Linked DNA regions of Cricetulus griseus. The protein of the gene in region 4 interacts with the protein of the main gene of each other region in a pairwise test. Links are inferred from orthologs where the notes say so. Each region holds a gene or a part of one and is shown on either strand. Other genes may lie near its edges.

The links.
Region 1: the proteins of Ccdc136 (region 4) and leukocyte receptor cluster member 1 homolog interact in binary tests that used the Homo sapiens proteins (3 or more experiments, as listed by UniProt). The two-hybrid records come from large-scale screens. The link is inferred for Cricetulus griseus from reciprocal best matches to the Homo sapiens genes CCDC136 and LENG1.
Region 2: the proteins of Ccdc136 (region 4) and Tcea2 interact in binary tests that used the Homo sapiens proteins (3 or more experiments, as listed by UniProt). The two-hybrid records come from large-scale screens. The link is inferred for Cricetulus griseus from reciprocal best matches to the Homo sapiens genes CCDC136 and TCEA2.
Region 3: the proteins of Ccdc136 (region 4) and Cchcr1 interact in binary tests that used the Homo sapiens proteins (3 or more experiments, as listed by UniProt). The link is inferred for Cricetulus griseus from reciprocal best matches to the Homo sapiens genes CCDC136 and CCHCR1.
Region 5: the proteins of Ccdc136 (region 4) and Cep57l1 interact in binary tests that used the Homo sapiens proteins (3 or more experiments, as listed by UniProt). The two-hybrid records come from large-scale screens. The link is inferred for Cricetulus griseus from reciprocal best matches to the Homo sapiens genes CCDC136 and CEP57L1.
Region 6: the proteins of Ccdc136 (region 4) and Fam161a interact in binary tests that used the Homo sapiens proteins (3 or more experiments, as listed by UniProt). The two-hybrid records come from large-scale screens. The link is inferred for Cricetulus griseus from reciprocal best matches to the Homo sapiens genes CCDC136 and FAM161A.
Region 7: the proteins of Ccdc136 (region 4) and Usp2 interact in binary tests that used the Homo sapiens proteins (3 or more experiments, as listed by UniProt). The two-hybrid records come from large-scale screens. The link is inferred for Cricetulus griseus from reciprocal best matches to the Homo sapiens genes CCDC136 and USP2.

The regions. Positions count from the first base shown.
Region 1 is NC_048602.1:21,581,399-21,585,757, forward strand, and holds the start of leukocyte receptor cluster member 1 homolog, read right to left. Parts: upstream 2,946-4,359; 5' UTR 2,877-2,945; coding exon 2,745-2,876; intron 902-2,744; coding exon 722-901; intron 241-721; coding exon 1-240. Other genes in the region: Tmc4 (transmembrane channel-like protein 4), read right to left, coding at 3,354-3,422, 3,538-3,616, 4,186-4,341.
Region 2 is NC_048599.1:226,855-231,318, reverse strand, and holds the start of Tcea2 (transcription elongation factor A protein 2), read left to right. Parts: upstream 1-1,606; 5' UTR 1,607-1,728; coding exon 1,729-1,797; intron 1,798-1,871; exon of another isoform or gene 1,872-2,518; intron 2,519-3,686; coding exon 3,687-3,749; intron 3,750-4,060; coding exon 4,061-4,166; intron 4,167-4,464. UniProt on the Homo sapiens protein: Necessary for efficient RNA polymerase II transcription elongation past template-encoded arresting sites.
Region 3 is NW_023276806.1:229,456,535-229,461,016, reverse strand, and holds the start of Cchcr1 (coiled-coil alpha-helical rod protein 1), read right to left. Parts: upstream 2,993-4,482; 5' UTR 2,978-2,992; coding exon 2,686-2,977; intron 2,680-2,685; exon of another isoform or gene 2,662-2,679; intron 2,135-2,661; exon of another isoform or gene 2,112-2,134; coding exon 1,960-2,111; intron 1,740-1,959; exon of another isoform or gene 1,675-1,739; coding exon 1,608-1,674; intron 1,392-1,607; coding exon 1,190-1,391; intron 1-1,189. Other genes in the region: Tcf19 (transcription factor 19), read left to right, coding at 3,813-4,050. UniProt on the Homo sapiens protein: May be a regulator of keratinocyte proliferation or differentiation.
Region 4 is NW_023276806.1:198,421,254-198,425,480, forward strand, and holds the start of Ccdc136 (coiled-coil domain-containing protein 136), read right to left. Parts: upstream 2,952-4,227; 5' UTR 2,900-2,951; coding exon 2,842-2,899; intron 2,108-2,841; coding exon 2,000-2,107; intron 1-1,999. UniProt on the Homo sapiens protein: May play a role in acrosome formation in spermatogenesis and in fertilization.
Region 5 is NC_048595.1:264,118,411-264,121,936, forward strand, and holds the end of Cep57l1 (centrosomal protein CEP57L1), read right to left. Parts: exon of another isoform or gene 1,740-3,526; coding exon 1,518-1,739; 3' UTR 651-1,517; downstream 1-650. UniProt on the Homo sapiens protein: Centrosomal protein which may be required for microtubule attachment to centrosomes.
Region 6 is NW_023276807.1:83,747,932-83,751,685, forward strand, and holds part of Fam161a (protein FAM161A), read right to left. Parts: intron 1,274-3,754; exon of another isoform or gene 1,157-1,273; intron 1,079-1,156; coding exon 849-1,078; intron 1-848. UniProt on the Homo sapiens protein: Involved in ciliogenesis.
Region 7 is NC_048597.1:155,764,870-155,769,143, forward strand, and holds the start of Usp2 (ubiquitin carboxyl-terminal hydrolase 2), read left to right. Parts: upstream 1-1,361; 5' UTR 1,362-1,503; intron 1,504-4,274. UniProt on the Homo sapiens protein: Hydrolase that deubiquitinates polyubiquitinated target proteins such as MDM2, MDM4 and CCND1. Isoform 1 and isoform 4 possess both ubiquitin-specific peptidase and isopeptidase activities.

The DNA.
Region 1 (4,359 bases), on a different chromosome or scaffold from region 4:
CTGTTTCTGAGGCCGCTCCTCTCTGGAAGGACGGCTTTCACTGCTGTGCCTTTTCTTTCCCAGGTGCTTCTGCATGTCCCTCAAGGGGTCCAACCGGTTCTTGATCTTCTCGTCTGGGCTTGGGCCTGGAGGGCAGCCCCCTTGCCTTGGGGGGAGCTGGTACCAAGGAGGTTGCGTTTGAGCCTCTGCTGCGCTCTGGCCCAAATACGTCAGGATGCCTAGTGCTTTCTCTTGCCTCTCCTGTGGGGGCAAGAAAACAAAATAGTCTTCCCAAGTCCCTCTGGGAGCCCTAGATATGGCATGTGGCAGTAGGGAAACCCAGGGCCTGAGTTCCCAGTGAGGCAGGGGCTGGTGGGTATTCAACAAGGGAAATCACAGACCAGGGGCCAGCTACGCAAAAGTGCTGATGGCTAATCTGCAGGGGGCGTCTAAGGAAAAACTGCAGCAAAGCAGAGGAGTGGTTTCAGTGGGATGCAGGAGAGCCACAGTACAGTTCACAATGTGAGAAGCACAAGCGCCATCTGGCGACAGATGCTGACGACTAGCATTCAGGAGGCCAGCGCCGGAGGGGGTTGTGAGCTGGAGGACAGCCTGTCTGTGTAGTTGAGGTGTCATCTCAAAATAAACTAGCTAAGGTTAACATAAGAAACAGCTGTTAGTCACAGCTGGTAGCGCCCCACCCCACCCCACCGAAATCAGCCAACAGAGGCCAGCAGCTTACCTTCTCCTGTCGCTTCTCTTCTTCATGCTCTTTATTGCCTCTGGGCACTCCTTTCCCTTCTTCCAGCAGCTCCCTAAACAGGTCCACAGGGCCAGAACTTGGAGCGCCTGCCTCTGCTGCTTCCAGCTCAGGGCGTGAGTTCTGGTGCCTGGCTTTCTTCCGTAGGAATTCTGTTCGGGCCTGTGAAGAAAGTTATAGGCAGGACATTCAGAACGTAGAAGTGCTGGGGGCTCCAAGGAAGGGCCATGAGCCGGCTGGTGGTGACACACGCCTCTAATCCCAGCACTCAGGAGGAAGAAAGAGGCAGGTGGATTTCTGTGGGTTCGAGGCCAGCCTGTCTACAGAGTCCAGGGCAGGCAAGGCTACATAGAGAGAAGCTATCTGGAAAAAGGTTTAAAAAAAAAAAAAAATTGTGTGGGGGGGGCGGGGGTAGAGGTACTGGGAGCCAGAAAAGACACCATTTCTAATTTGAAGTGGAGAATGGGGTTTTTGTTTGGTTTGGCTTTTGAGATAAGGTTTCTCTGTAAAACAGTCCTGGCTGTCCTGGAACTCAGTCTGTAGACCAGGCTGGCCTCCAACTCACAGAGAATCTGCCTGCCTCTACCTCCCAAGTGCTGGGATTCAAGGCATGCGACACCACCACCCGACGAGAATGGTTGTTTTTAAACAGTTAACTGGATTACCAGGGATATTTGGGGAGATCCCAGCCTAAAACAGAAGGGTTTCCACAGCCTGGAGTCATGCAAGAAAAACAGCTATCAAAAACCACTCAGCTAGGGGCTGGAGAGATGGCTCAGCGGTGAAGAGCACTGACTGTTCTTCCAGAGGACCTGAGTTCAATTCCTGACAACCACCTTGAATGAGATCTGGTGCCCTCTGCTGGCATGTGGGCAGAAGACTGTATACATAATAAATAAAATCTAAAAAAACAAAAACTACTCAGCTATAAGGTATAGAGGTGGCTTGTTCACCCATAGAGCCCCTGCTTAGTGTATGCCCAGCACACACATGTACAAACTCCCAAATACAGCTTATTAGGAAGCCAAACACAGTTTCTGGACAAAAGATCTGAACCCCAGGTGTGGCTCCAGGTCAGCATCCCAAACACATTAGTGATGGCCCGTGTCACTCCCATCCCAGGTAGGTTCTGCATTGCCACCAACGCCCGGCTACTTCCGAAATTTTAAATACCCACACTACTTCATGATCAGATTGGCCAAGGGACTTAATTGTAAACTAACATGATTGAGTAATTACTAACGCCTGTGCATGCATGCGTGGTCTTCAATCCCACATTCAGGAGGCAGAGGCAAGAGATCTCAGAGCTCGAGACCAACCTGGTCTACATAGCCAGTTCCAGGGCAGCCCGGGCTACATAGACCCTGTTTCAAAGAAAGCCTCTTTGGTGGCGCACGCCTTTAATCCCAGCACTCGGGAGGCAGAGGCAGGGGCAGGGGGATCTCTGTGAGTTCGAGCCCTGTCTCCAGAGTGAGTGCCAGGACAGCCTCCAAAGCAATACAGAGAAACCCCTGTGTCGAAAAATAAAAACAAACAAACAAAAAACCGAAAGAAAGAAGAAAAAAAAGAGAGAGAGAGAGCAAGCCAGCCTCTGGGTGTGTTTGGGGGAGCAATGGTGGAGAAAGAAGAGGTCTAACGGAGTGCACTCCGGCTTGCCCGCCCTTTGCCCTCCTCGTTGAAGCCTTTGCAACTCCAAGTCGCTCTAAGAGGGTCGTGTCAAGTCTAGCGCTCTGCAGGAGGGGGGGCACGCATACAGTGGGTGCTCAGTAATTAACTTGTGCGGACGATCTCCAAAGTGATCGGGGCAGCCGTCCCACTCCGACGTGCTAGCCTGCGGTCACTTCAGCCACACCAGGGGGGGGGGGGGAAGGGGATCCAGGACGGTTTCGCGCAAGTCAGCAAAGGATTTGCGGAGAAGCGTCAGCAAGCACAGACCCGCGGCTGCCACCGAGTCACCCACCGACCCAGCGAGGCCCGCCTCGCTTCCGGGCCAGCCCAGGCTCACCTCCTGCTGGGCGAGCAGCACCCTCCGCTCACGCTCCTTCTCCTCCTCCCGCGCCCGGGCCTCATCGCGCCGCACGCGGGCGACGTTGTCCTTGTTTCGGACGTGCCAGCTCTTCTTGGGCAAGATATTCATGGTCCCCCCGCCGACCTCCGAGCCAGCGGGCCCCCGACTCCCACACTTCCGATTGGCGCGAGGGTGCCCCCGCCCCGTGGCCCCACCCTCGCCTGTGCATTGGTTCCCGGCCAGACGCCACGCCCACTTATGACCCTATCCAGGGGTGATTGGCTAAGAGGCCCTCCATCACAGCCAATCCCAAACGTTTGCCACCCCCGGGTCGCTCCACCCCGGACGCCGCCGTGTAGGGCTGATGCTGCCCCGCCTTGTCTAGCCCTCTGCTCGCAGACACAACCCGGGACCCGGATCAGGCCCCTCCCTAAACCCTGTCCCCAGCTTCAGGACCCGGCTTCAAAATGCAAAGCTGTTGTTTATTAATAACGGTGCAACTGAGAGTGTGGCACTGGGGTGGGTGGGGTGGGGTGGGGTGCGGAGGACTCGATCCAGAGACCACAGGGTACCAGATAGGGAGGTGTAACCACGGGTCTCGGGTGGTCAGATGGCTCCGTTCGCTGAGCTCAGAGCCACAGCTCGCTGGGCTAGGAAGACTTTATTCTTCGCTTCCTGAGGGCAAGAAAAAAGAAAGGGGGTGGAAGTGAGGCAGGCCTACTCTACACCCTACACCCGAGTCCTTCCCAGGTTCCCAGGGGGCCCTGGCCGGGGAAGCACCATGGCTCACCGTCTCTATCTGGCGTTTGAGCTCGGAAATGAGGCGTCCGTAAGAGTTAGCCAGGGCTATTGTAAACACCATCAGGATGCTAAGGAAGACAGGGATGAAAGTTACTTCAGAAAAATAAAATAAATACACACACACACACACACACACACCCCTTCATCATATGGCTCCTTAGAAACCAGGATCACGCCCGGTGCTGGTGGCACACACCTTTAATCCCAGCCCTAAGGGAGGCAGAGGCAGGCGGATCTCTGTGAGTTCGAGACCACCCTGGTCTACAAGAGGGAGTGCCAGGACAATCTCCAAAGCCACAGAGAAACCCTGTCTCGAACCCCCCCCCAAAAAAGAAACCAGGATCAGGACCCCCAAGGGCCACTGGCTTCTGCTTCAGACCAGGAGGAGTCCATACCTCTGCCCTCCTCCCTCTGACCAGGGGTCTAGACTGCAGACCTCCTTTAGACCCAGTGTTCAAACCCAGACTTCTTTTCCTTAGACCCGGGAATCCAGACCCCAAACCAGATCTAGGGAGACCCCAGTTGTCTTCCATGCCATAGGTACCCAGGCAGCAGCCCTCCTCTCTAGCAGCCCCCAACCCCCCAACACTAAACCACACATATCCAAACTCCGACCATAAAGTCTGGAACCACTTACCAAGAGAGGATCAGAAGGGGTACAGCAAAAGCCTGCGTCCCCAGAAAGTAGAGAAAGTTCTGGGCGGACTGAGGGAGGGTTTCGATGGACTCCGGGATGTGGACCCAAATGGACATCTTCCCTTGGAATGGACCGCACAGCTTAGAAGGTGGGATCCTGCGGGCAGAGACACAC
Region 2 (4,464 bases), on a different chromosome or scaffold from region 4:
GGACAACACCATGTTGGAATGAACACCTGGTGATGTCCAGATGGTGTTTGGTGGGGAAGTTTCACTGAAGACAAAACTCCCAAAATCAGAAAGGTATGTGTGTGTGGGGGCACTGCGAGGTTGTGATGTGGGGGGTGACTTCTCCGAGCAAGGGCCAGAAGGTTGGATTTGGAGCTCCTGTAGTCTGGGATCCGGGCTTTTTGTTTGTTTTTGGGACAAGGGCTCTTACAGCCCAGGTTACCCTCAAACTGGATATATATCTGAGGATGACTTTGAACTTCTGATCTTCCTGCCTCTGCCTCCCAAGTGCTGGGAGTACTGGCAGGTACCTGTGATGCCTGGTTTTATGCAGTACTGTGGCTTCTTTATGATAAGCAAACACTACCAACTGAACTTATCCCCAGCTCAGGGAATGAGGATTTCTAGGGCTGGGTTGTGGGGTCAGTGCCAACCCCACAAGTGAGGACCCCTCAGTAATGAACACATCTTTGATCTGTTTTTTTTTTTTTTTTTTTTTTTTTTTTTGTTACCATAGCTCCCCTGCTGGCGATCTACTGGATTTTCCTCTGGAAGGAGCCATTGTCTGAGCAGATTTGTGGGTTGCTCCTGCCACCTACAGGCTGCTGTTGCTCATCACTGGGACGACTAGTTTTGTGGATAGTCCCTTCAGCATGGTTGAAGGCCATGGGGCTTTACTGCTTGTGCTGTTGTAGGGTCCTGCAAGCATCAACTCAGTGCTCAAACACAGGGTTAGAGCAAGGGCCAAGATGCCAGGACAGGGCAGAATTAGAGTTGGTATGGGAGCTGGAGAGCTGCGCTTCTGAAAAAGCTTTGTTACCTACGAGGAATTCAATACTTTTTCCTTATGGTGAAGATGTCACAACTGATTAAATGGCCATCCCAGGCCATTTGCACATTCCATTTGCACCCTGGCCTTGTGGCTACTGTGGGTACAGTAACTGTCTTTTGGTACCGGCACACCTGCAACCATCAGCAACACAGAAGAGGAGAAGAGTACCTCTTTTCCTTGCCTGGGCATGGTTATGATGTTTCCCAGTACCTGAGCCCTGCCCTATTCTCAGTGTACAATGTGAACCGGATGATCCCGCGCTTCAGGTTGGGAGATGACTCTTAGAGCAAAGAACAGAACCTGGGATTTACACCCTGTTAGGTTGACTTCAGCGCCTGAATTCTTGCCCAAGAAGCCCTCTCAGAATCCGGGACCGATACCTCCCAGTGTGCGCTGCATCTGCGTAGAGTCAAGAACGACCCAAAGTTGGCTTGGTAACGATGTAAGTGGGGTTGGCTGAGAGGTCCCGACGCCACAGCACTTCTACGAAGTGAAGGCGACCGGGGTGGACTAGCCAACGATCAATGCATCACCAGGGCAAGCGGCTGAGATGGGTTGAATTAAAGACCATATTGCAGTATACTCCTCCCCTCAAGTCCATCCTCTCCCTGGCATTCGGAGGGCGTGTGGGCGGTCGCTCCGCGGATGGCGGACATTCGGAGGAACTACCTTTTCCAGCGGGCCGCGCGCCACACGCCGCACAGTCGTCTGGGAGTTGTGGTCCCGGGGGCGGAGACTTTTTTTTTTTTTTTTTTTTTTTTTTTTGAGTGTGTTGCACGCGGCCGCCTGGCGGAGGTTTGGACCGCGCATCTAGGCGGCGGCGGCCGAGGTCTGGCCGGGTGGCGCAACCGGCGCAACCCGCCGCCACCGAGGTGGTGATGGGCAAGGAGGAGGAGATTGCGCGGATCGCCCGGAGGCTGGACAAGATGGTGACCAGGAAGAGCGCGGTGAGGGGCGCGGGCCGCCAGGACCCTGGGGCCCCCGCTCCGTGGAAACCGGCTGAACCCACCCTCGGGGAGAATGATACTCAGACTAGTTGAGATCCCGGCCCCAGGCCCGCCCTCTACCGTGGGACTGCCGCTTCGCACTGGACGCCAAGCTGACTTGGGAGCCGCCCACTGCCCCCTCGCCCAGCGGTGGTCGCGGGCGTTCTTAGCCCAGCCGTTGTCTCCCATGTCTGCCCCCACCCTTCAGAACTAGGTTTCTTTAATAAATTTCCCTTCCTGTTTAGTCAAGCCTCAGGCAGCAGCAAGTCGATGTGGCCAGACTGTAGATTTCGAAATGAACCTGTGTCCTTGAGACCCTAGGAGACCGACTCTGCCCCTCACCTTGCCCCAAGGCACTGTGGGCTTGGCCTACAGTCTAGCCTGCCTTCCTACCCTGGCCACCCTTGTAACCTTTCGGGAGCATCCTTAGGGAATGATGGCACCTGCCTGCATCTTGCCTTCCGTGGGTGGGAAGGGACCAGGAGGTGGCCTTAAGGCTAAGTATGACCCGCCCATCCGCGGCACCAATCCCAGGGCAGCACAGATGGGGGCTGAGTCATGAGTCTGTATAGCCTCCCCATAACTGTGCTTGAAGTGGAGGGCTGCAGGACAGCTTTTGAGGACCAGCAGGATTGTCCTGGGTTCCTGTTGGCCAGGGTTGGGGGGCTAAATCCGGAAGAGAGTTAGGTTCCCCTTTATGCCCCAAACAGCCACATTCTGTAATAACGGGTGCAGAGGCCTGCTGGTGCTTCTTTCCTCTAAGGGTGTTAAACCCAAATGACAAAATTGGAACTGAGGGTGGCAGAGATGGGGTGGGAATCTACAGGGGCTTGGAAACTGGCAGAGACACAGCAAGAGTGGAAGGCCACAGACAGGACTCTATAGTGGAGAAGGGAAACGGCAGAAGTTCTGGGAGGTAGCAGCAACCTGAGAGGCTCCTTGGAGCTGCTGGTGATTTGTTCGGGCCTTCTGGGTGGGAGTACAGAGCTGTTGGGGATGAGTTCCCCTGGCTCCAAGGATCAGGTCTTCTCAGCAGGATCTGCTTTAGGGCCATGAAACAAGGCTGCAGTCTGAGCAGATAATTAACATAGATTGGAGGTCAGCCCCAGGCTCTCCCACTGTCTCTACTGTGGAAGGTTTGAAGGGCTGGATGGGTTTTCTCTGCCTCTTTGAGGCATGTAAAGACACATGAGTTCATAGTGGTAACCTGGAGAAAAGCAATTGCAATAGTGTCCGATGTTGGAAGAGTCTGTCAGCTGTGGGAAGGAGGTGCCTGAATAAAGCTTCGAAGTGCTAGGGAGAAGAGCAGTCTTAGGCAGAGTGAGGGTTTTAAGGTAGGAATAGGAGGAGCCTGCCTTTGAGGTGCAGCCTGTCTGTAGATACTGAAGAATAGAGCTTGGGCAGAGGCAGAAAATCAGGGTTGTCTGTTACAGTACCCAGGAGAAGTGCTACACTGATGGATGAGCACTTTGAGGAAAGGCATAGATGGACTAAGTCTAAGGAACCTGAGTTATATCTCTTGAGTGTCCTTCCATGTTGAGCAGAAACTGGGATTTTTTTCTCTAGTAGTTTGCTCAGTGACCTGGTGTGGTTACCATGAGGTCTGGAGGTCACCACAGATGCAGGGTGAGAAACCACCTGATCTTTGAGGAGAGCACTATTAAGCTGTTTGTCTCTAGTCTTGCCCTAGTGCAGGGGCAGTAAAAAGCCGCTGTTGTGGTAGTGTGTGCAGTGCTCTGGTCTTCTCAAGGTAGAGGAGTGGCTTCTTTCTGACATGTAAATTGTCCCCCCATATGATCAGGAAGATCCACTAAGGTTTAGTCTTTTATGAAGGTCCTCTTTCCTTCCAGGAGGGAGCCATGGATTTGCTTCGGGAGCTGAAGGCCATGCCTGTTACATTACACCTGCTCCAGGTAAGCTCTTCTGCTTCTGGTATAAGATGATTCCAGAGACAGTAACCAAGAACATCTAGCAGAGTTCCTTATATGACTCATACAAGGCTTAGTTGGCATAAACAACTGCTCTAAGGAGAGGGCTTCTGATTCTCTCTGGTGATCATTGAAGTGGGAGGGGGCCCTCTGGGTTCCAAGTGAGATCATAGCCATTGGGGAGAGAGGTCTTTCTGTCCCTGCCCATTCCCCAGCCCTTCCCTGTGGGAGCCAAGTGACGATCTGCCTCTGGAACAGGTCCCTACCACCTCTGACCCAAGCCACTTGCCTTGCAGTCCACCCGTGTTGGGATGTCTGTCAATGCCCTGCGGAAGCAGAGCTCAGATGAAGAGCTCATTGCACTGGCCAAATCCCTCATCAAGTCCTGGAAGAAGCTCTTGGGTACGGGTCAGAATGTGAAGGGTGGCTCTTGCTGCTCAGCACAGCATAGAGTGATGACTCTGCTGCTCTTACTCAGGCTCTCTGGTTGTGGGATACAAAAAACAGGCCAGAGAGTACTCATCCCTGGTCTGGAAGTGGATGAGGATGATGGAAGATGATGTCATCTGTTGTGATGGGGAGGGGATGGCCTGGGAGGCGTGACCATTGAGACAAGTGTATATGCTGGGGAGGAGATTTTCAAGCTGCGGGAGGTCAACAGAAAAGGAGGTCCAGGTCAGCATGCTCCAGATGAAGGAGG
Region 3 (4,482 bases), about 31 Mb from region 4:
CTCACACACAGACACGGCTCAGTGGTTGAGAGAGCTTGCTGCTCCTGCAGAGAACCCCAGTTCAGCTCCCAGCACCCACATTCAATGGCTCACAGTGCCTGTCACTCCAGTGCCAGGGAATCCTACACCCTCTTTCGGCCTCCAGGTGGGCATGCTCACATGCAGATACATGCACATAAATAAAAATACAATCTTTTTTGTTTTGTTTTGTTTTTTTCCCCAGACAGGATTCTCTCTATGTAGCCCTGGCTGTCAGGGAATTCACTCTGTAGACCAGGGAGGGAGTGGCCTTGAACTCAGATCTGCCTGCTTGTCTGCCTCTCTGGGATTAAAGGCAGGCCATGCCCGGCTCAAAAATAAAATCTTAAACCACATATGCCGAGCATAGCCAGCTCCAGTGGTGTATGCCGGGAAAGGCCCTTTTAACTAAGAGCCAGCATGTCACTTCGTTTCACAATGGCTTCTGGGCAATCCATCTCCTCCCTCAGACATTTACACTCCTTCTTTATTGTTAACTATATGTTTTTACTTGATAACTGTTTTTGTTATATATAATTTTACTATGTTAAAGTAAAAGTAAACCCTTCTTTTTATTTAGACAGAAAAGAGGAGATGATGGGGGATGCCCTTCAGTATATATGTTTCTTTTATTGGTTGATGAATAAAACACTGTTTGGCCAAAAGAGGCAGGAAGATAGGTGGGGCAGGGAGACAGGGAGAACCCTGGGAGAGATGCAGGGAGGAGATGCCATGTAGCTGCCAAAGGAGTAACAGGTCTGGGCATTTTCTGGTAAGCCAAGACCACGTGGAAATACATAGATTTATAGAAGTGGGTTAATGATGAAGAGAGAGCTAGCCACCAAGAAGCCCTAGCCATTGGCCAACTGTTTTATAACTAATATAGTGTCTGTGTGTTTATTTGGGGCTGAAGCGGTGGCAGGACCTGGAGGAAAAGAAACTCTAGCAACACTTGTTAATTGGGAATTTAAGTCCAGAGCGCGCGCTCTCTCTCTCTCTCTCTCCTCTCTCTTGATTTTCTCCAGGGCATAATGGTATATGCAGTGTAGGTACCAACAATGGCCTACAGAAAACCACACAAGTTATGGAACCCAGGGCTGCTGAAATAAAGGAATGTGTGTATAAAGGATCATTAGCAAGTCTGAGAAAAAGGTGATTGACAGATCCCTACCTGCCTCTCTGCCCTGGCCCCTGCCCATCTCCATAGACATCCTGTTCCCTCATGGTCACTGTGGGCCTCTGAGAGTCCAGCTGCCGCCTCTCTAGGACATCTTGGTCAAATGTGGATTGGAACTGGGGAATGTCTGAAGCCCAGGTCGGGGCCATTCTCGGCCGAGCTTGGAAGTGGGAGGGAGGAACCAGTCCAGCAAAACCTGAGGGGGTGGGTCACAAGAGTAAAGACTGTCAGTTTCTCAGAGAGAGAGAGGAAGACGGAGGGAGGGAGGGAGGGAGGGAGGGAGGGAGGGGGAGGGAGGAAGGGAAGGAGAGAGAGAGGGAGAGAAAGAGAGGAGAGGGAGGGAGAGAGGGAGAAAGACAGAGGCAGAGAGACACAGAGAGACTTCCCAGCCTCCTTGATTGGCCTTACTGACCTGAGGGAGACAACATCTCCACTCTATCTGAAGCCTCTCGATCTTGTCCGCAAGAGTGTAGGTTCCCCTGGACAGTAGGAGAAACAAGGAGACTCCAGTTCAGTTTTCAGGCCACCTTCCAAAGAGGAAGTCCTATAATAACAAAGCCACAATCCTTCAGTTACTGACAGATCTGCCCAGCTCTGAGCTTCTCTCTCCCTACTTCCCTAACAAGGCAGACTTGCTTGTCCCGAACACACGCTCCTGACAAAGGAACCAGGCAACAATCATGGGGTAAATGTACCGAGATGGGGGCCAGGGGATGCTCTTGGGGATTTTGCTTCTACTACAGGATTGTGAGTGGTGCCTTTACCTTCCTCCTTAAGTGTCTACGATCCCTGTAGCTCTGGTCTGGAGGTGAGCGGGCCTGTTGTGAACCCCGTCTCCACAGTTCTCGCCATGGTATGGTAGGGACGTTGGGAAACCCATCTAGGCACCACCGCGCCATGATTTCTGGGTCATTTCCTACAAAAGCGTTAGCCCAAGGCCTGGCACCAGAAGAATGGGGCCTCATGTAGGGTTAAGCGGCTTCCCTAGGATCCCCAGGGAATGCAAGCAGCCTGGAGCGCGTTGCCAGGCAGCCAGCTTCCTGTTATCTCATCGGAGTCTCCCTGCAGCGGGCCTCAGTTTCTCTCTATCCCCTCTGCTTCCATTCCCGAAGCCCTTCGCTGCTCAGAGTCCTGCAGCATCTTCTTTGTCCAACTCCCGTCCGAACTCAAATTTTTTGTTTGTTTGTTTGTTTTCCACTCAACGAGATCCCTACACGCTTCTCTTCCTAGTCCTACTCTGCATTTTTCTTGACGTTATGGTCCCGGTCGCTCGCTGTCCTCAGGTCTGCCCTCTCCTCTCCTGCACACACCCACGGGCTCATCCCCCTCACTAGGACCCTGAGCTGTAAGGCTGCCCCGACCTCCTCATCTGTTCTTTCACCGGGCTCCTGCACCCCTCCTGCCCTGTGGACCCCCTCCACCCTCCTGAGCACCCCCTCTCAGGCCCCTTTCCGCCCCCAACCAACCGACTCCGGCCGAACGCTCCTTACCCAGCGCGAGGTCCGCCTTCTTGCCACGCCCCTTAGCCCCTGGCTTCCCCGCTAGGCTTCCCGCCCTGAGCACGCATGCGCGCGGCGGGTGGGGTTGGCGGGATGCTCTAAAGCCCCAACTCGCCCCGCCTGCCGGAAGGAGGAAGGAAGAAGAACGGCGCACGCAGGCACACTGACTCCTCCAGGCCTTCTCCGCGCCCTGGCGGCCCCGCCCCATCCCGGGAACCCGGGAAACCTGCAGGCCAATCAGAAACGGCGGAGGGCGGGAGATGGACGGCCCCTCCCTGCGCATCGTCCAGTACAGCGGAGGAGGGCGAGTCAGATGGCCAATCAGAGACAGCCTGGGGAGGGGCGCGGGCTCGCAGGCGCGAAGCTGGACCCGGGAATTCCGTAGGAGGAGTCTGCGCGGTGCGCGCCCGCCGGCTCGCCCGCTCGCCCGCCCGAGCCGCGCCCTCCGGAGGGCGGCTTCCTGGCTGTCAAACCGCAGCGGGAGCGAGGGGCACAGGGTGTGGAGTCCTTCTTCGGGGCACCCCGCAAGCGCAAGAGGAGAGGGTGAGCTCCACCTTGTTGCAGAGTTAGGGACCTGTCTGCGCCGCCCTTTGTGGGTGACAGCGGATTCCCTTCCCTCGGGGCAGGACAGAAGGGGTGCTCTACCTGGATTAGGAAGTTTGACCTGTAGGCTTCCCTCCCGGCTCCTGCTTACACTCGAGGGGACACGTTCGTGTCGCACGCACGTCCGTGTAGCGGGACCTCCTCACCCCGCTGGGGTGTCCCCAGCTGCCGCTTAAAGTAGCTTTGCCTTGAACAGATTGCTACAGCCTCCCCGGATATTCTGCGGCCTGAGGACCCGGCATCACGGAGGTCCCACAGGACGTCTTCCTGGTTTTGCATCGCGAAAGGGCTTCTCCGGAATTGCTTTTGAAGTCTCATCTTGACAGCCGCTAGCTACAGCGGTTGCATGCGTGTCCAGGCCTCTGGCGCTCTTGGAAATCTGTGTTTCTCAAGTTGGCATTACCCACAGTGGGGCTGCTGACGTCAGACAACTGAACCGAAGCCCCCGGTGCATGGCCTGGGAGTAGGAGAGGTGATGAACTGCTGAGAAGCGGTGCAGAGGGGAGCACCCCCCCATGCTGCCCTGCTTCCAGCTGCTGCGCATAGGGGGCGGCAGGGGCGGTGATCTCTACACCTTCCACCCCCCGTCCAGGTCAGGCTGCACCTATCGGTTGGGCTGCAGGGCTGACCTGTGTGATGTGGCCCTGCGGCCCCAGCAGGAGCCGGGCCTCATCTCTGGGGTCCATGCATTGCTGCACGCTGAGCTCCAAGGGGACGACTGGCGGGTCAGCCTGGAGGACCACAGCAGTCAAGGTAAGCGGTGAGCAGGCAGCCCCAGGATGGCATGAGTAGGGGAGCCTCTGGGACTCCATACCTGCCTCCCAGAGTCCCTGTCAATCTCTGGTAGAGCAGACAAGCAGGATCCGGTTTGATCTGCCCATGAGAGCTGTGCAGGACTAACCTGCCCGGCTGCTTTAGCTCACACAGGGCTAGGAGGGAGGCGCTGGGGTGTCATCAGTAAAGTGGACATTCTAGCACTATGCTCACACTTGACTCAAGTGTCCAGGGTTGCTGAACCTCCTTGTTCCCATTAAGGCGGTGTTCTAGTGACCTAGGCATTCCTTCCCAGCTCAAGGCAGCCTCAGAAGCCTGGCATCCACAGTTCTTCCATCCAGTTGCTACTAGGTCAGACACAAGCTCTGGAGAAGCCTAATCTGAGGTGTTTTATAACAGCCAGCAGGAGCA
Region 4 (4,227 bases):
CACCCTGGCTCATCTACAAGAAGTTGGTAGCATAAGGACACCTGGAACTTCCAGTATGATCACAGGGTAATGGGACAAGGAGTTAAGAAAGGATTCAGACATTCAGACACAGCTGCGTATTTAGGCCAAATCGGGCAAGGTTGGAAAGGCAACAAGCAAAAAACCCACATCCAGGTGGCCTTTTAATAATAGGAAAGTACTGGCTTGGCCTGTAGTGGAGAAGGAAAACATTGGAAGGGAATGGCTCTGAGCTGTTTACTGGGTAAATGTGGGAACCCTTTCAAAAGCAAGCTATCAAATAACTTTGAAAATTTCTTTTTTTTTTTTTAAAGATTTTATTTATTATGTATACAACATTTCAGCTTCCATGTATATCTGCACACCAGAAGAGGGCACCAGATCTCATAACGGATGGTTGTGAGCCACCATGTGGTTGCTGGGAATTGAACTCAGGACCTCTGGAAGAGCAGTCCACGCTCTTAACCTCTGAGCCATCTCTCCAGCCCCGACTTTGAAAATTTCTACACTAACTTTTATTCCTGTTGGGTGCCACCTCTTTCCTGCTGACCCAAGTTGGTTTTCAGGGTAAGTCTGAAACTGAACTCATGCATAAAAGAAAGCCTGCCATCCAAACACATTTTTTTAAAAAATATTTATTTATTTTATGCATCTGGGTGTTTTCCCTGCTTGTATGTCTGTCTATAGTGTGCATGCAGTAGCCTTGGGGGTCAGTTATAGGAGTTATAGGATGGTTGTGAGCTCCCATGTGGGTGCTGGGAATCAAACACAAGATAACTGCTAAGCCATCCCTCCAGTACTGTTGACATATCTTAAAAACTGAATTGGAGGGGCTGGAGAGATGGCTCAGCAGTTAAGAGCACTGACTGCTCTTTCAGAGGACTTGGGTTCAATTCCCAGCACCCACAGGCGGCTCACAACTGTCTGTAACTCCAGTTCTAGGGGACCTGATACCCTCACACAGACATGCATGCAGGCAAAACACCAATGCACATAAAGTAAAAGTAAAATTATTAAAAAAAAAACCAAACACTGAATTGAGCCAGGTGTGATCCTAACACTTGGAAGGCAGAAGCAGGCAGGTCTCTGTGAGTTCAAGCCCAGCCTGGTCTACAGAGCCAGTCCCAGGACAGCCAGGGCTGTTATACATAGAAACCCTGTCTTAGAAAACAAATACCAAAAACAAAACAAAACAAAAAAAACCAAAAATCTTGAATTGGTACTGGTCCCATTTTTGGATTGGTGAGCACTTCTTTTACTGCAATGCAGTTCCCGTAAATAGCAATCTTGTCTTGGTGGAGACTGCTTTGTTTTTAAATTCTGAATCTCTGGTTTTCTTTTTCTAATACCAATAGCATATGGTTCATCTGAGACCCCTTATGCTATCGAGTCTCTAGGGGAGGCCTGTACTGAACTGTAAAAGGGCCTGGGGTCACTTCACAAGAAGTCCTGGTTGATCCTCCCTGCCCTGTCCTGTGGTGTGGTGGTGGGAAGTTGACTTCGATCTCTCCTAAGCCTCTCTTACTAAAGCTGCAAGGCTCCATTCAAAGTTGACAGTGGAGGCATCAGAAAGACAGTTCACACGCCCGCCCATGTCCTGGCTTTTAAAAATAAGAGACAGCTTGGGATCCAGGTCAGCAGGCAGTGAGAACAAGCGCCCCGCTGAAAGGCTGCTTCCAGGCTCCTTTCAGCAGGACCTCTGTCTGTCTGGCAGCTCCCCCAGGACACACAACCTGGTTAGCTGGGTGACTGGAGCCCAAAGGGATGTGCCCAAACTTCCATCAATGCCTGAGCCCAGGACAGGCTTGGAGCTCTGCCACCAGGGAGGAGGGGCCTGAGATGAAGTGAGGGAAGGGCCGTATCCTGGCTCCTCAGAGCTCTGGGGTCAGGGAAGGAAGTAGGATGGAAGGGAACTGGGGAGTAGGGTGATGGAAGATGGAAAAGCTTTTTTTTTTTTTTTTTTTTTCGACAGAAAACTCACCCTCCATAGCTTGCATCCCACGGCGTTCCAGGGACCCCCAGCGTTGGCCTTTCTTCCTCTCACAACCCTCAGATAACTCATAAGAGCCTAAAGTGGTTACTGTGGGTCCTGTGAGCAGGAGAAAGTAGGCACTGTAGGATTGGAAAGAGGCTGGGGGCTGAGGGGAAAGAAAGGGACGCGGATTCTTGTCTGGGAGCCCCGAAATTTGTAATCCCACTGGAGGAGCCTGACTCACGCTGTCCAGCTGTGTGATTCTACTCCCTTCGCCACCTCCCATGCTCTGCCTAAGGAGAGGACCCCAGCGCGGCGCTGCCCAGCCTCAGCACCCCTGATCCAGGATGTCGCCGGCTCCTCTCCCCGCCCAGACAGAAAGAGGGTGAGTGTGTAGCTTGGGGCACAAGGAGAAGAGGGGTAGGATGGGAACTAAGAAAGAAGGTTTTTGGAGGATGCGGGTGGCTCAAGGCAGGGAAGGGAGGGGCGGCCGGACCTGGAGGGAAGGGGCTCCAACCCAGGCCTCTCCTCTCCCCTCCCCTCCCTCACCAAACCTCGCCCAGCCCACCCTCACCCCCTGGTCAAGAGCTTTTATGAACTGGAAGGGTGCAGGCTCGAGACCCCCCCCCCCGCTGCTTCCACCGCCCCTGGCGAGCTGGAAGCACGGTCGGGCTGGAGAGACGAGGTGGGGAGCACTCGAGGAGTGACCGCTAGGGAGGGGACACCCCCAGGTCGAAAGATGGAGGCCGGGGTGGAGGAAGTCGACTCAGTACCCCGGGCACCCGGGGGTCAGGAGGAAGGAGAGCAGAGGGGGAAGGAGCATGGGGAGCTGAGGGAGGGGCGGCTCTGACCTGGGCCGGGGCAGCTCCAGCCCGCGCTCCCGCGCCGGCCCGCGCCGCCTGCCTCCATGGCCGCTCCTGCCGCCGCCGCCGCCACCGCCGCCGCCGCAGCCTCCGAGCAGAAGCCGCAGCCGCGGGGCCGGGGACCGGGAGCCCGGTGCGGTGCGCAGGGAGGAGAGAGGGCGGGGCGAGGGGGCGGGGCCTGGCCTGGCCACCTGACGCGGGTGCCAGCCTGCCGCCGCCCGGAAACCCTCTCTGTCCCCGCGGCTCCGGACCGCATAGGGACCAGCCCTGGAGGCTCCTTGCGCGTTAACAAAGTGCCCAAGCCTCACCGGAGGCAGCTCCGGGTCTGCTGCGCCTCCTGCACGGCGGACGTGAGCTACCGGGTCCTAAGGATGCTCCCAAGGAGTGACAAGATGGGTGGCTTCTGGCGACAGAACCCACCCTAGGTCAGTCGCTCCTAAGGACCTCTCTGCTCTGGGTCTCTGGGCCTGGTCCTACCTGGTGATTGAGGCACAAACAAACAAACAAACAAACAAAAAACCAAGAATGGACTGTTTCCTGCAAATGCGCAGACACGCGCGCACTTCTTGGTCTCCATGGCCGCAGTTCACCGAGCCCATCCATCTCCTCCTGGCGGCCTCACGTGCCACAGAGCTGCTGCAGGGCTGCAGAGTAGGGAACTTGAGACTTGGATGTGCCAACTGCAAGGCAGGCATCATTGCCTTTTCCGAATTCCCACCAAGCCAGAGCCAAGGACTGACTTAGAAGGAGCCCTCCGTAGCCCAACCCTGCTGCCCTCGGTGCACCAAGACCTGTCCTCTCCATGTCCTTTGAGTCACGCCCCCATGTCCTGTGGGCACCGCTGATGTCCCCTCTAACAGAAGGTGTGGGAAACCACAGGGCTTATTTCACTTTTTCAACTATCCACTCAAGAGACGATCTTGATCTTGAGACAGATCTGACTTCTCAGCAGGTCTCATTCAGGTCAGAAGTGGGTACACAGGAACTGGCTCCCCAAGTCAAAATTGTGGGTCGATTCCTTTTTTTTTTTTTTTTTTGAATTAGAAACAAGATGGTTTTACATGTCAACCCCAGTTCCCTCTCCTTGCCCTCCTCCACTACAAGCCCCCCCCCCAACTAAAACCCTACCTATCACATATCCTTTCTGCTCCCCCTGGAGGGTGAGGCCTTCCATGGGGGGGGTCATCAGAGTCTATTGTGTCCTTTGGGATAGGGACTAGGCCCGCCCCCGTGTGTCTGGGCTCAGGGAGTATCCCTCTATGTGGAATGGGCTCTGTGAGGGCGATTTCTAAGCTGGGTACACACACTAGTTCTTTCTCTTGTAGTCTCATTCTTAAAGTTTGGACATGGATTGGCTGTGTTCACCTTCTCAGG
Region 5 (3,526 bases), on a different chromosome or scaffold from region 4:
CAGGCTTCCTAGGAAAATAGATTGTCCTTAAAAATTGCTTTCCTTAAGTGGGGCATGGTGACACATTCCTTTAATCCCAGATCTCAGGAGGCAGAGGCAGGCAGATGTCTGTAAGATCCAGGCCAGCCAGGGCTACTTATACTCAAATATATAGGTAAAATAAATAAACTGCCTTTTATGGCCAGGAATGGCTGCAAATGCGGGAAGTATAGACAGGAGGACTGGCCGGTTCAACACCAATAACTTCATAGTGAGTTCAGGGCCAGCCTGGCCTACTGTCTCAAAAAATGAAAGCTGGGTGGTGACAATGCAGTCCTTTAACACCAACCCAGCACTTGGGAGGTGGAGGCAAGTTGATCTCTGTGAGGCTAGGATGTTTTGTTTTGTTTTGAAGCAGCTCTTTGGGCTTACATACCCAAACTGCATAGTCCCCATCCACTGGGAATTCAGGAACATGAACACTCTATTGACCCTTTGAAATTGGCCCATTTCTTACACCTCCTCCCTAATCCCAAGCTCTTCCCTTTACTGTAGTTTTTTTGTCTGGTTTCCATTTCTATTTCAGTTGATGACATCAGTTTTTTAATTGTCCCAGAAGATAAAAATGTAAGTGTCCCAAAGACATTAATTCCATACTTAATTCCATAGGCTTCTAGAAAGGCAAAAAGTGTCAATTTATTATAAAATATGTATACAACAAAGAAATCCATTGTGACATCACTGATTCTGAAGTATAAAAAGATAGCACATTTACTGAATTCATTTTCTCTTGTGGATAAGGTTGATTAAATGCCTAACTTCTTAGGAAATCCCATTTTTTCTTGGTCGTGTACATTGTCATATACTAAAGAAAATGACATATAACACAAACAAGAAACCAGGAAAAGTTACAGAAGAGTAGGATGAACCCAGGTCCTGGTGTTTAAAAGGAAAGCAGGCTTGGAAAAGCAGAGGAGAATCAGTGTCTTGAAGATGTCATCAGTTATGCATTGCTTCTCACAGCTGTCACAGCAAAGCTCAGCACAGGCATTTCAACAAAATGCAGAATGATTGTGTTTTTCCCTCTCCAAACAAAACACGAACACTGCTGAGACTTAAAACGAGGTACAGTGGCAATCTCAGGGAAGTCACAGCACTCTGTTCACTCCGTGGTGATCTGCAGGTAGCAGCCTACCTAAGTGAACCTGTGGAATGGCACTCGGAGTTCAGGTTTAACTAGATCTTAATGAGTGGCCATTCAGCCCCCTTCTTAGATTGACCTTAGGGAGCTGCAAAATGAATGCTTCTAGCACTTGATGAGGGCAGGGGCCTTTGGATAACAGCAACAACAAAAATCAGCCATTTATTATTCTGGGATTCTTGGTAGGTCATTAGCCATTATTCTAAACATACACAACTTCACATTTCACAGAAGCCCAAACATAATTGAAAATTTCCCAGCTATATTGAATATACACTCTACACAGACTTGTAGGTCTCACTGGTGAGGCTCACTGAAGGCAACAGTTCTGCTAATGTCACTGCTCCCACTTGATGTCATCTCTCCTCAATTTCACCTGCAGATTGTGAACTTGTACTGGACGAAAGCTGCTGTTTTTCTGTAAAGGGTTAGTTTCATTCAAACCCTTCCTGGAGCTAGTTTTAATGTTCTTTGGTCCTTTAGGGTTGTCATGTTCCTGAAGGACACATGAAGATTCATTTATCCTTGAGTTCTGAACTTTTTGCTGCAGCTTACGGACCTGTAGAGAAAAGAAAATCTAATGTTTTTGGTAAAAATTAATATAAATATACCCCAAAGTAGATGACTAGATTGGTGGCTTAAAGATTACGGCAAAAGGTTCAATCCAGCAAGTTACTCAGTGACCACCGGATCCACAGCTGACATTGATAGCCAAGCAGCCGAGTAACACGTAAAACAGCCTTGCCTTCAGGAAGCTCACTGCTCCAATGAATGAGGGACAGAGAATGCTTGAGCTGGGACAACTCTGAAGGGAAGACTGTGCATGTGAGAAGAAGGTCACAGTAGCGAATGGGTGCGGGTGTTGAGCAAAAGGTTACGGGTCAGAACTAGAGCTCCAAGACCGGGAATTCTTTTAGATGATACTAATAGCAAAGTAAAGAATTGGTGCTAGGAACAAGTGTTTATTTGCTTAGGAGGCAATTTTAAATTAAAGATTAAATTTATCACAATAAAAGGCTTATTGAAATACTTATTCAAATTCTAAAATGCATAGATTGGGTAACTCTAAAATTGTGATTATTGTTCTATCCAAAGTTTCTTCTATGCAATTCCAAGAAAGGGTACAAGTTGTATAATCTTTACCCAAACACAATCATAACATTTTTTGTTTTTTACTTGTTATAGTCTTAAAAGGGTGTAAAATGAAAATAACATTTTTCTTTCTTGGCCACAAGCATAACGAATAGAGTAATATTCAGAGATTTTACAAATCACTGTCCTACAGAAGCATGTGTGGATGGAGGGTTGATATACCAGCGTCTTGCCTGGATGCTGACCATCCCTAGGCAGAGAGCTGTATGAAGTACATGATGTGGTTGTGAGGTTTCCTGGAAAGACTCCCTTCTGTTTCAGCAACAGAAGTCATAGTGTTTTAACTTCAGCTCTGGATGGAGTCATTGTCTTACTGTAAAATACTATACTCATGATTCTTCTGTTAAAATATTGAAGGCTATGCCATTCTTAGTTGCTAACACACAAGTACAAAGTCCTCCACACCTGAGTTCTACTAGCTATAGGTGGCTAAGCATAGGTTCCCAGGGAACACACTACAGCCCAGGAGAAGGCAGAGAATGGTTCCAGGGTTGTGGTACCAGGTTTCTGTGTGTTACTGTCTCTGTGGGCACAAAGGACATCACTAAAGCAGTGGGACGGAAGGCAAGAGAGAGGGATGCCGGAAGGGGGACCGGAAAGATGCGAAGGCAACAGCCTTCTATACAGTTTCCCCAAGGTCTGACTCCACACGATCTCGTTTGCTTTCACTCTTATCTTGAAGAACTGAAAAGGAGGCCCAAGTCATTACAGCAGTGATGGCTCTCTGTAAGAGGAACAAGTGACTCCTTTGTGTCTTTTAGAACACCTTACCCACAGACTTCCATTTAGAAGGCCATACAGAGATGTGACATTGAATCCACATATATGTTGCAGAATATTTGTTTAACTATGTAGAGATGTATTGCATTTGTTTAATTATGTAAAGATGTGTTGCTGTTTTACCTTGCCTGCCTAAGGCATCTGATTGGTCTAATAAAAAGCTGAATGGCCAATAGTGAGGGAGGAGGTACAGGTGGGACTTCCGGGCAAGGAAAGTAAATAGGAGGAATAATTTAGGTTCAGGGAAGAAAGAAAAAGAGATGCCAGGGGCCAGAAAAACAGACACGGAGGAAGCAGGAAAGTAGGACATATAGAATGAAAGAAAGGGAAAAAGCCCTGAGGTAAAACATAGATGAATAGTAACAGGTTCAATTAAGTTAAAACAGCTGGTGGGACAAGCCTAAGCTAAGGCTG
Region 6 (3,754 bases), on a different chromosome or scaffold from region 4:
GAAAAAAATGGGCATGCTGGCTCATGCTTGTAACCTCAGTGCTTGTGAAGCTGAGGCAGGAGGACTGCTGAAAGTTGAGGTCATAAGGGAATATGGTAAGTTCTAAGACCCATCCTGGACTATATATAGTAAAGATCATGTTTCAAAAATAAAAAAAAGAGTAAATAAGCAAAGCAGCCCAGACTAAATATTTTGCTACATATCTGTAAGCATAAGTAAAGCGAGAAAATACAGGTGAAGGAGCAGGAGAGATGGCTCAGCAGTTAAGAGCACTGGCTGCTCTTCTAGAGGACCTGGGTTCAATTCCCAGCACCCACATGACAGCTCACAAGTCTCCATGGGCACCAGGCACACATGTGGTGCAGACAAACATGCAGGAAAAACACATTAAATTACAATAAAAACAAACAAGCAAACAGATGGCCACTAAATGACCCTCAAAGCAAGAGGTAACTTAATAAACTGATAAGCCATTAAACATTTTGAATAAAATCCCACCTCTATATATCATTAATACTAGGAAGGACCTAGTCTGTCTATCTCCTGTGTGCCAGGCCTGCCTGAGATCTGACACCCAAAGACATGACACTCCAGCGTCTCAGAAACAGGAGGTCATGCTCAGTTTTTGGTGGGAGGCAGGAAAGCATTTTCAGCAAGAGTGTCATCCTTAAGTTCAATTTTGTTTCCAAACCATGCTGGAGATCAAACCCCAAATGTATGTTAGACAGGCTCTCACTGTTGCTGAGGACCTGATATTTAGAAGCAAATACTCCAGGATATTTTGTTTCATACTTAGTTTAAATATTTATCTTAGGTCAGTCCTCAGATGACACCGAGCACAAACTTACCTAGAGGAGACACTAGAATAATCTTCCCTGGTGATCACTGGCCAGACGTCTTTTATATTTAGCTTGTCCTGGTACATTTTCTCTAATTTTGCCATGGTTTCTGCATGGGCGGCCTTTAGCTCTCTTAGTTTCCTGAAATACTCTTCATTAGAGTGGTAAACATCAGAAAAGTCCACAATGTCCTGGATTGTCACATCTTCTTTTTCCCTGGGAAAGCTGTTACCACTAGCCTGATGGGAGGAGAAATCCATTATATGCTATTTTAAATGAAATAAACAATTGATGCTGATCCAAACGCTGGTTCTTACATATGTCCCACTCTGTAGCCCAGGCAGGCTGCCTCTGCCTTCTGCTCCCTGGGATTAAAGGTGTGTTCCACCAAGCCTGGCTTCAATCCATTTTATAATGGTTAGGTACCTAGAAAACTGACAGTAAATATTCAAGTTGGGACACTTAACACTGCAGAAGACAGAATGGGACACTGCTACGCAGATTTCAACCAGAAGCCTCTTCTGAGTTGTGCATCTTTGCTGACAAGAGAGAAGCTACTCTCCTGTACCTACAGCCAGCTCTTGAGGGGTCCCTGCCTCGGGGCTCCAAGGGTGTGCAGTGGAGAGAGGGCAGGCCCAGGGACAGTTCTCAGTTGCTCTTCCAAGGACCCAGGCTGGGATGACCTTGGAGGGGAGAAGGACACGGGGCAAAGAGAGTTTCAGAAGGGTCACTGCTGTGGGCAGCAAGCAAAGTAACACCTGTGTATGGCAGACAGTTTGGGCAGGAGAAGTGAGCGTGGAGAAATACTGCATGTACACTTGCATGCAGGAGACACTCCACATACAAGTCAGGACTGGAGGGTTCTGACTGGACTTTCTCTCATCCCTTTTACCCATCGTTCTGTTCTTTTTAAAGAGATAAAAACCTCACTTTCTAGAGCTACAGAAGCAGCTTAGTTGGTCAAGTGCTTGCCATGCAAGCATAAGAAGCCATAAAAAAGCCAGGCGTGGTGACACAAGTTTGTGACCCCAGCATTGGGGAGATGAGACAGGACCTGAAGCTTCATCAGTGATCTCTAGATTCCAGTGAGAAACCCTTCCTCAAATAATGATATGATTTCATAAAATAAGTCTGTTGAGCCTTTCCAATGGGAAAATTCAGAAGAGTCCATTACAAATCATACCTTGGGCTGCAGAAGGGCCTTGGCTGTAAGGTGTCTGCTGAGCATGTACCAGACTGTGGGGTTATTCCCAACACAACGAGAAAGGAGGGGATGGATGGATGGATGGATGGATGGATGGATGGATGGATGGACAGAGGGCCATATTTTTAAGATTATGTGCATACCTGTGTGCATGGGTGAGTACAGGTGCCCATGGAGCTGGGGGTTCAATCCCCTGAAGCTGGAGTTACAAGTGGTTGTGAGTTGCCTGGTGTGGGTGCAGGGAACCAAATCCCAGTCCCTACAAGAGCACCAAGTGCTTTAACCACTGAGCCATCTATCTAGCCTCAGATTTTTGTTGCTATTTTTTTTAAAGTTTTTGAGAGGCTGGTGTTGTCCCACTTGGAATAAATTCTAGAAAACAAATGAAATGTAGAAACTTGTTATCAACAACTCATAGGGCCAAAGACCTATTTAATGTATGTCACATGAGTTGCTTAGGAGAATTTGTTGCTTTTGCAGAGGACCCAGGTTCAGGTCCCAGGTTCATAAACGTGGTGACTCACAATTCTTAACTCCCGTTCTAGGGATATAGCGCCCTCTTCTGGCTTCCACAGGCACTGCGCACACATGGTAATCACTTAGACCTGCACAGACAACTGCCTCACGTAAATAAAAATTGATGGGGGCGGGGGCTAGAGAGATGGCTCAGAGGTTAAGAGCGCCAGCTGCTCTTCCAGAGGTCCTGAGTTCAATTCCCAGCAACCACATGGTGGCTCACAACCATCCATTATGAGATCTGGTACCCTCTTCTGGTGTGCAGATACACATGAAAGCAGAATGTTGTATACAAAATAAATAAATAAATAAATAAATAGATAAATAAATAAATAAAAATCTTAAAAAAATGATGGGGGCAGGGGGGATGAGCAGAGTTCCCCCAAGGCCCTGCATTTGCCCCCTTTCTCAATGCTCGCACTCCAGAAGTCTGCACAGCATACTCGCCCACTCTCCACTCAAACACCACCTCCAGAGAGGTTTCGTGGACTATCCCCTTTGGAATGGCCACTCTCCCAACTCACTGAGTCCTCTTCTCCACTTCATTTCTCCAGAAGTGTTTACTCACACCATCTGCCCCGTCCTGGCTGATCTGTATACCCGGGCCTGCTCCAGCTGGAGAAGGGTTTGTACAAAGGCAAGAGTTTATTTGCAGGGTTCTTTCTTGTTCTCAGCTTCTAGGAAGGAGCCTGACCAAGAACAGATGTCCAGTACATATTTGTGGAAAGAAAGAATGTACAGTTAAAGAATATGTAAGCTTCCACCACAGGAAAACAGCAGTGTTTCCTTTCGCAAGACTGAGCTGTGTCTGGAAGGGCAGGTTGCTGAAGGACCACCTGATCTTACTGAATACAAAGGAAAAGGCCCATGATCCTAACATAAATGAAAACCTAAAACTCAGGCTGTAAAACTGCCAGTGTGTTATAAACATATGCCCTCTAGGAGAACAGTGGGCAGTTTTCAGACAGAACACCCGTGGCTCATTCTCTCCCCCACAGACTCTCTAACAGGTCCTATGTCATCTACACTGAAGACAGCAGGGGACTGTGGCCTGGAAGAACTGTGTGAAAGGGAGACACAGCAGGGTGGAAGCAGAGACAGGCCTGAGGAGCTGCACACACACACTGAGGTCTGCATGTGGCTACTCACTGTTAATGCAAGCAAAACTCAAATAAACTCTCCTGGTTGTTTCACT
Region 7 (4,274 bases), on a different chromosome or scaffold from region 4:
GTAAATCTTTTTAAAAAATCAAGAGGGGGGAAAAATTCAAGATTTGCCTTGGCTTTTTCTTTAAGAGGAAGCCCAGCAGAGTTAGCATTTCACTTTTGTTTTTACATGTGTTTGTTTGTACGTGCACATGTAGCAGTCAGAGAACAAACCCACATGAGTTGGTTCTCTCCTTCCACCTCATGAATTCTGGAAAGCAAACTGAGGTTGTCAGGCTTGGTGGCAAGTGCTTTTATCCACTAGACATCCTTATGGCCAACTTCTGCTTTTTCTGAAGAGTTCAGAGAATTCTTCCCATTGACGTGGTTACCAACTCCAGTCATCATTCACCACTAGCCCTACACAAATAAAAAGAGCAGGGTGCCTTTAAGAGTGACTGATTCCTTAAGGATATTATCCAACTAATCAATAAATAAATAACTTTTAGAAGTCAGGTTTACTTAAGATTAAAATACAAGTTGCCTCTCTTTTTATTCTAATGCTAATAGCATAAAATATTTATCCTTTATTGGGGCAAGTCACCAAATGAACCACCATACTGTGCTGGAATTTACTACCTATCTGTATGTGTTCTCCCTAGGCTTCAGCTACATCGTGCAGCAGATGGCTATAATAGTGGTTCTCATTTTACAGGACCACTAAAAAGATTAAGTGAGAAAACTAATGCATGCAAAATACTCGTCACAGTGTCTAATAAGTAATGCACTAAATAAGTAGCCCATAGGATGAGTTGTTTGAATGGAAATGTGATAGTATCATGTCGAACAGACATAATCTTCCTTATCTGTTTATTATTGTTGTTATTATTGATTTATCTGCTAGGATTTTTATTATTTATCTGATCGATTGGGCTCCGTAAATATTGTTATGACATGTACTTGATTGTTCGTTTAAATAAATGCATTTTTAAATATAAATAAATAAAATGAAAGGGTAGGCATAAAGAAAAGAGCCTGTAGAATAGATCATTCCCGGCCCGGTAGGAAAGCGTGGAGGAACATTAAGCCTTCCCTAAAAGCTGAAAGCTGATATGCCGCCTTCTCCCGTGACGTGACCGTCTGTCTCAGTCCTTCCAACCGCCCGGACCTGTTACATTCCAGTCCACTTCTTTCCTTGCGCCACCGGCTCCAAACAGGCGTGCTTTTGCTGCACGTGGTTCTCTGTATATAGTGGTTGCCTGGGAGATTCACGCAGGGCGGGGCCCCATTGACGCCACAATAGGAACAAGCCAATAGCCATGACGTATATCAGTGATGCGAACTCGGGGTGTGGCTTTCCCGGCCCGGGCGCAATGAGGCGGCTGCCCGCTGGGTGGCGCCGATTTCCCGGGGAGGTCCTTTCTGGGCCCCCGGCGGAGGTGGGGGAGAGGCGGGCAAGCACCGAGCGAGGCCAGGGAGCCCTCTGCGTCAGCCACAGCTCGCTGCGCCGCGCCAGTACCAGCCAGGACTCATCCGCAGCTCCATGCTTGTGCCGGGTTCGACTCGTCCATCCTCCGAGAAGAGGCAGGTACGTGCCACCTGTCGCAGATCGGGGAAGGGGAAAGCCGGGGTCGGTGCCAGCTTGGAGGTTCGGAAAGTAGGGTGTCAACGACAGCCTGGGCAGTCTGGACATGAGAAATGTAGGGCGAGGGCCAACTGTGCGGGGGAACTCCAGCTGTGGGTGCCAGTGTGTGAGAGGGACTGACAGCTGACAGCTCGGGGTGCCAGGAAGAGCCATCTGTGTGCTGATCAATGTGTTCTGAGGAAACAGTTACCGCGGGTACAGGTCCCCGTGCCCGGTGTGGTGTGTAGCCTGAGAATGACGCCTGGACCCTGACACCCCCCTCTCCCCACGTGTGCGTGCAGCTACCTCCCTCCCTGATGTCAAACCTCCTGGGGCTGTCTCTGGTCAGTTTTCCAAAGCGGGGGAAGGGGGCTCAGGGGGAAGCCAGCAGTTAAACGGAAGGGAAATTTTCCACCAATCCCAAATCAGAAAGAGGCAACTTTAAAATTCTCACCAATCCCAAAGCAAAAGCAGCCATGCAGTGTTCCCAGACAAGCAGCTTGCCAAGCGGAGTCCTGGCCAAGCCCTTCTAGCTCTTCAGAGAAGGGAGAACTCTTAGCTCTTGACCCCCAGTGCTTTTGAGAATGAGGTTGCAATGAAGATCTCAGTAGGGGCTGCTTATCTCTCCAAATGTAAGGAAAAGCACACACATCAATCCGCCTACAAAACAAGAGGCATGGAGAACTAGTAGGTGGGCTAGAATAGAGGGTGTCCCCTACTCTTTGATGCTGTAGGTGCAAGCCACTCTGGAATGAGGACTGGAATGAGGGCGTCCTCTGGAGTGCATAGTCAGGACCCAGTCTGAGTCAGTACCCCGTGCTGAGACAGGGTGGAGGCACCAGCCCTGGGGCCTTCCAGTCTTCAGGGAGAGCCATCAAGAAACAGAAGAATCGTCTTGGGAGCAGACAGGTGCACCAAGACCAGAGAGTCCCTCCTCTAGTAATCCCTGTCCAGCCTGCCTTTGCCGCCCTGGAACCCTGAGTCCTCCAACAGGTAGACTGGGACTGCCCCTCTGGAGCTAGGCATTTTCCTGGCAGCCCAGGGAAACCGCACTTGATATTTTTTTCTGAGCAAAGGGGAAAGAAGCCCAAGTAGGCTTGGCCTATCGCCTTGGGAAGGTGGCAAGATTCGTCTACCCTTTCCATTTTGGGGACTGGGCTAGTTCAGAAAACCACAGGACTGGTCTCTGGCATCAGAGCAATTCCCCGAGGGGGTGCCCTGAGGCCTTTTTCTTCTAGGAAGGGTCACCTTCTAGGAAAGGTTGCCTGCTACTGCTAACATTAGTAGTAAGTAATTAGATAAGAAATGGAAATAATCAATAAGATTGCCATTTATTGAACTCTTGCTATGTTCAAGGAAGCTTAAAACTATGATTTTTGTCCTCATCACTGTGAGGCATACCATAATCACTATTGTTGTTATTCGTAGTTTTTTTCGTTTGTTTGTTGGTGCATTCATTTGGGTTTTTGTTTGTTTTTGGTTTTTTCAAGACAGGGTTTTTCTGGGTATCCCTGGCTTTCTGCTTTGTAGACTGGTGGTCCTTAAATTCATAGATCTTCCTGCCTCTGCCTCCCATTGGGATTAAAGGCCTGTGTGCCACCAGCCCTAGTTCTATTGTTCGGGTTTTACAAATTACATAGCTAAGATTCAGAGAGCCTACCTTAGATCCAATAAGGGGAAGGATGGGAATTCAGGCCCAGACCTAGAGGTCCACAATTAAAAAAAAAAAAAAAAAATAGTGGACTGAAACTTGAATGCTGATCCCAAGCACATCTCTGCCCATGTGTCCTGGAGCAGGTCCTCCCCATCTCAGAATCCCTTGCAACTGGACTCGCAGTTTGGCCTGTTCCTGTTCACTCAGTCTGTGACTGACAGCTCTAGAGAATCCACCTTCTCCATGTTTGGGACTCCAATTCAGCCCCAGCCCTCTGCTCTATTCCCTCTTGATCCTTCCTGTTTTAGTTCCAAATATCCCCTCCCAGGATTCTAGCTGGTTCTCCTCAGCTATCACCCGGCCACTGGGCATCAGGTGGAAGGTGGGCATGTCACTGCCCCTTTAATTCTCCTGGGGCTTGGAATGCAAGTGAGTTGCCATCTCTTCGAGGTCAGATAAGATACTATATATATCTAGCTAGTAACCTGAGCTCCGGATTACCCAGCCCCAGTTAGACTCCAGCTTCTGGACTCTACACTGCGGTCCCATCACTGCTGGGAAAGAAACCCCCAGCTCCCATCCAGTGCTCCTGGACACAGGTCAGTAGCTCTCTCTTTGGTCTCTGAGTTTCAAGGGCAACCGAGTGACCCAAGTAAGCCCTGAGTGAGTTTGGAGGAGCATGATAGACGCCACCCACTGGCCTGGTGATCGCAGTAACCAAGCCTGAATGCTCAAGATAGAGAACAGAGGACAGCTGATGCCCTAATGGGAAAGAGATAGGATTCTGTCCAAAGAAGGGGGCACTGGGAGGGTACCTGAGCATAGGAGGATAAGAAAGAGAATTGAAAGGTATCTCTGCTTCCAGGAAGCCTGTTTCTTTGCCTTTTTTTGGACTTACAGAGATAACCACCCTTCCCAACCCCTGGGCCTACCCACTTCTTCTCCACAAGTCAGGGTGGCTATTGTCATCTCTTTCATCTCTGATCTCTTTATCTTACCTCCTCATCTCCCATCCCCCTCCCCAGGTTTTGAGGCACCTCCTAAAACTGGGAGAAATAGAGACTGACACAAATTCTTTTGC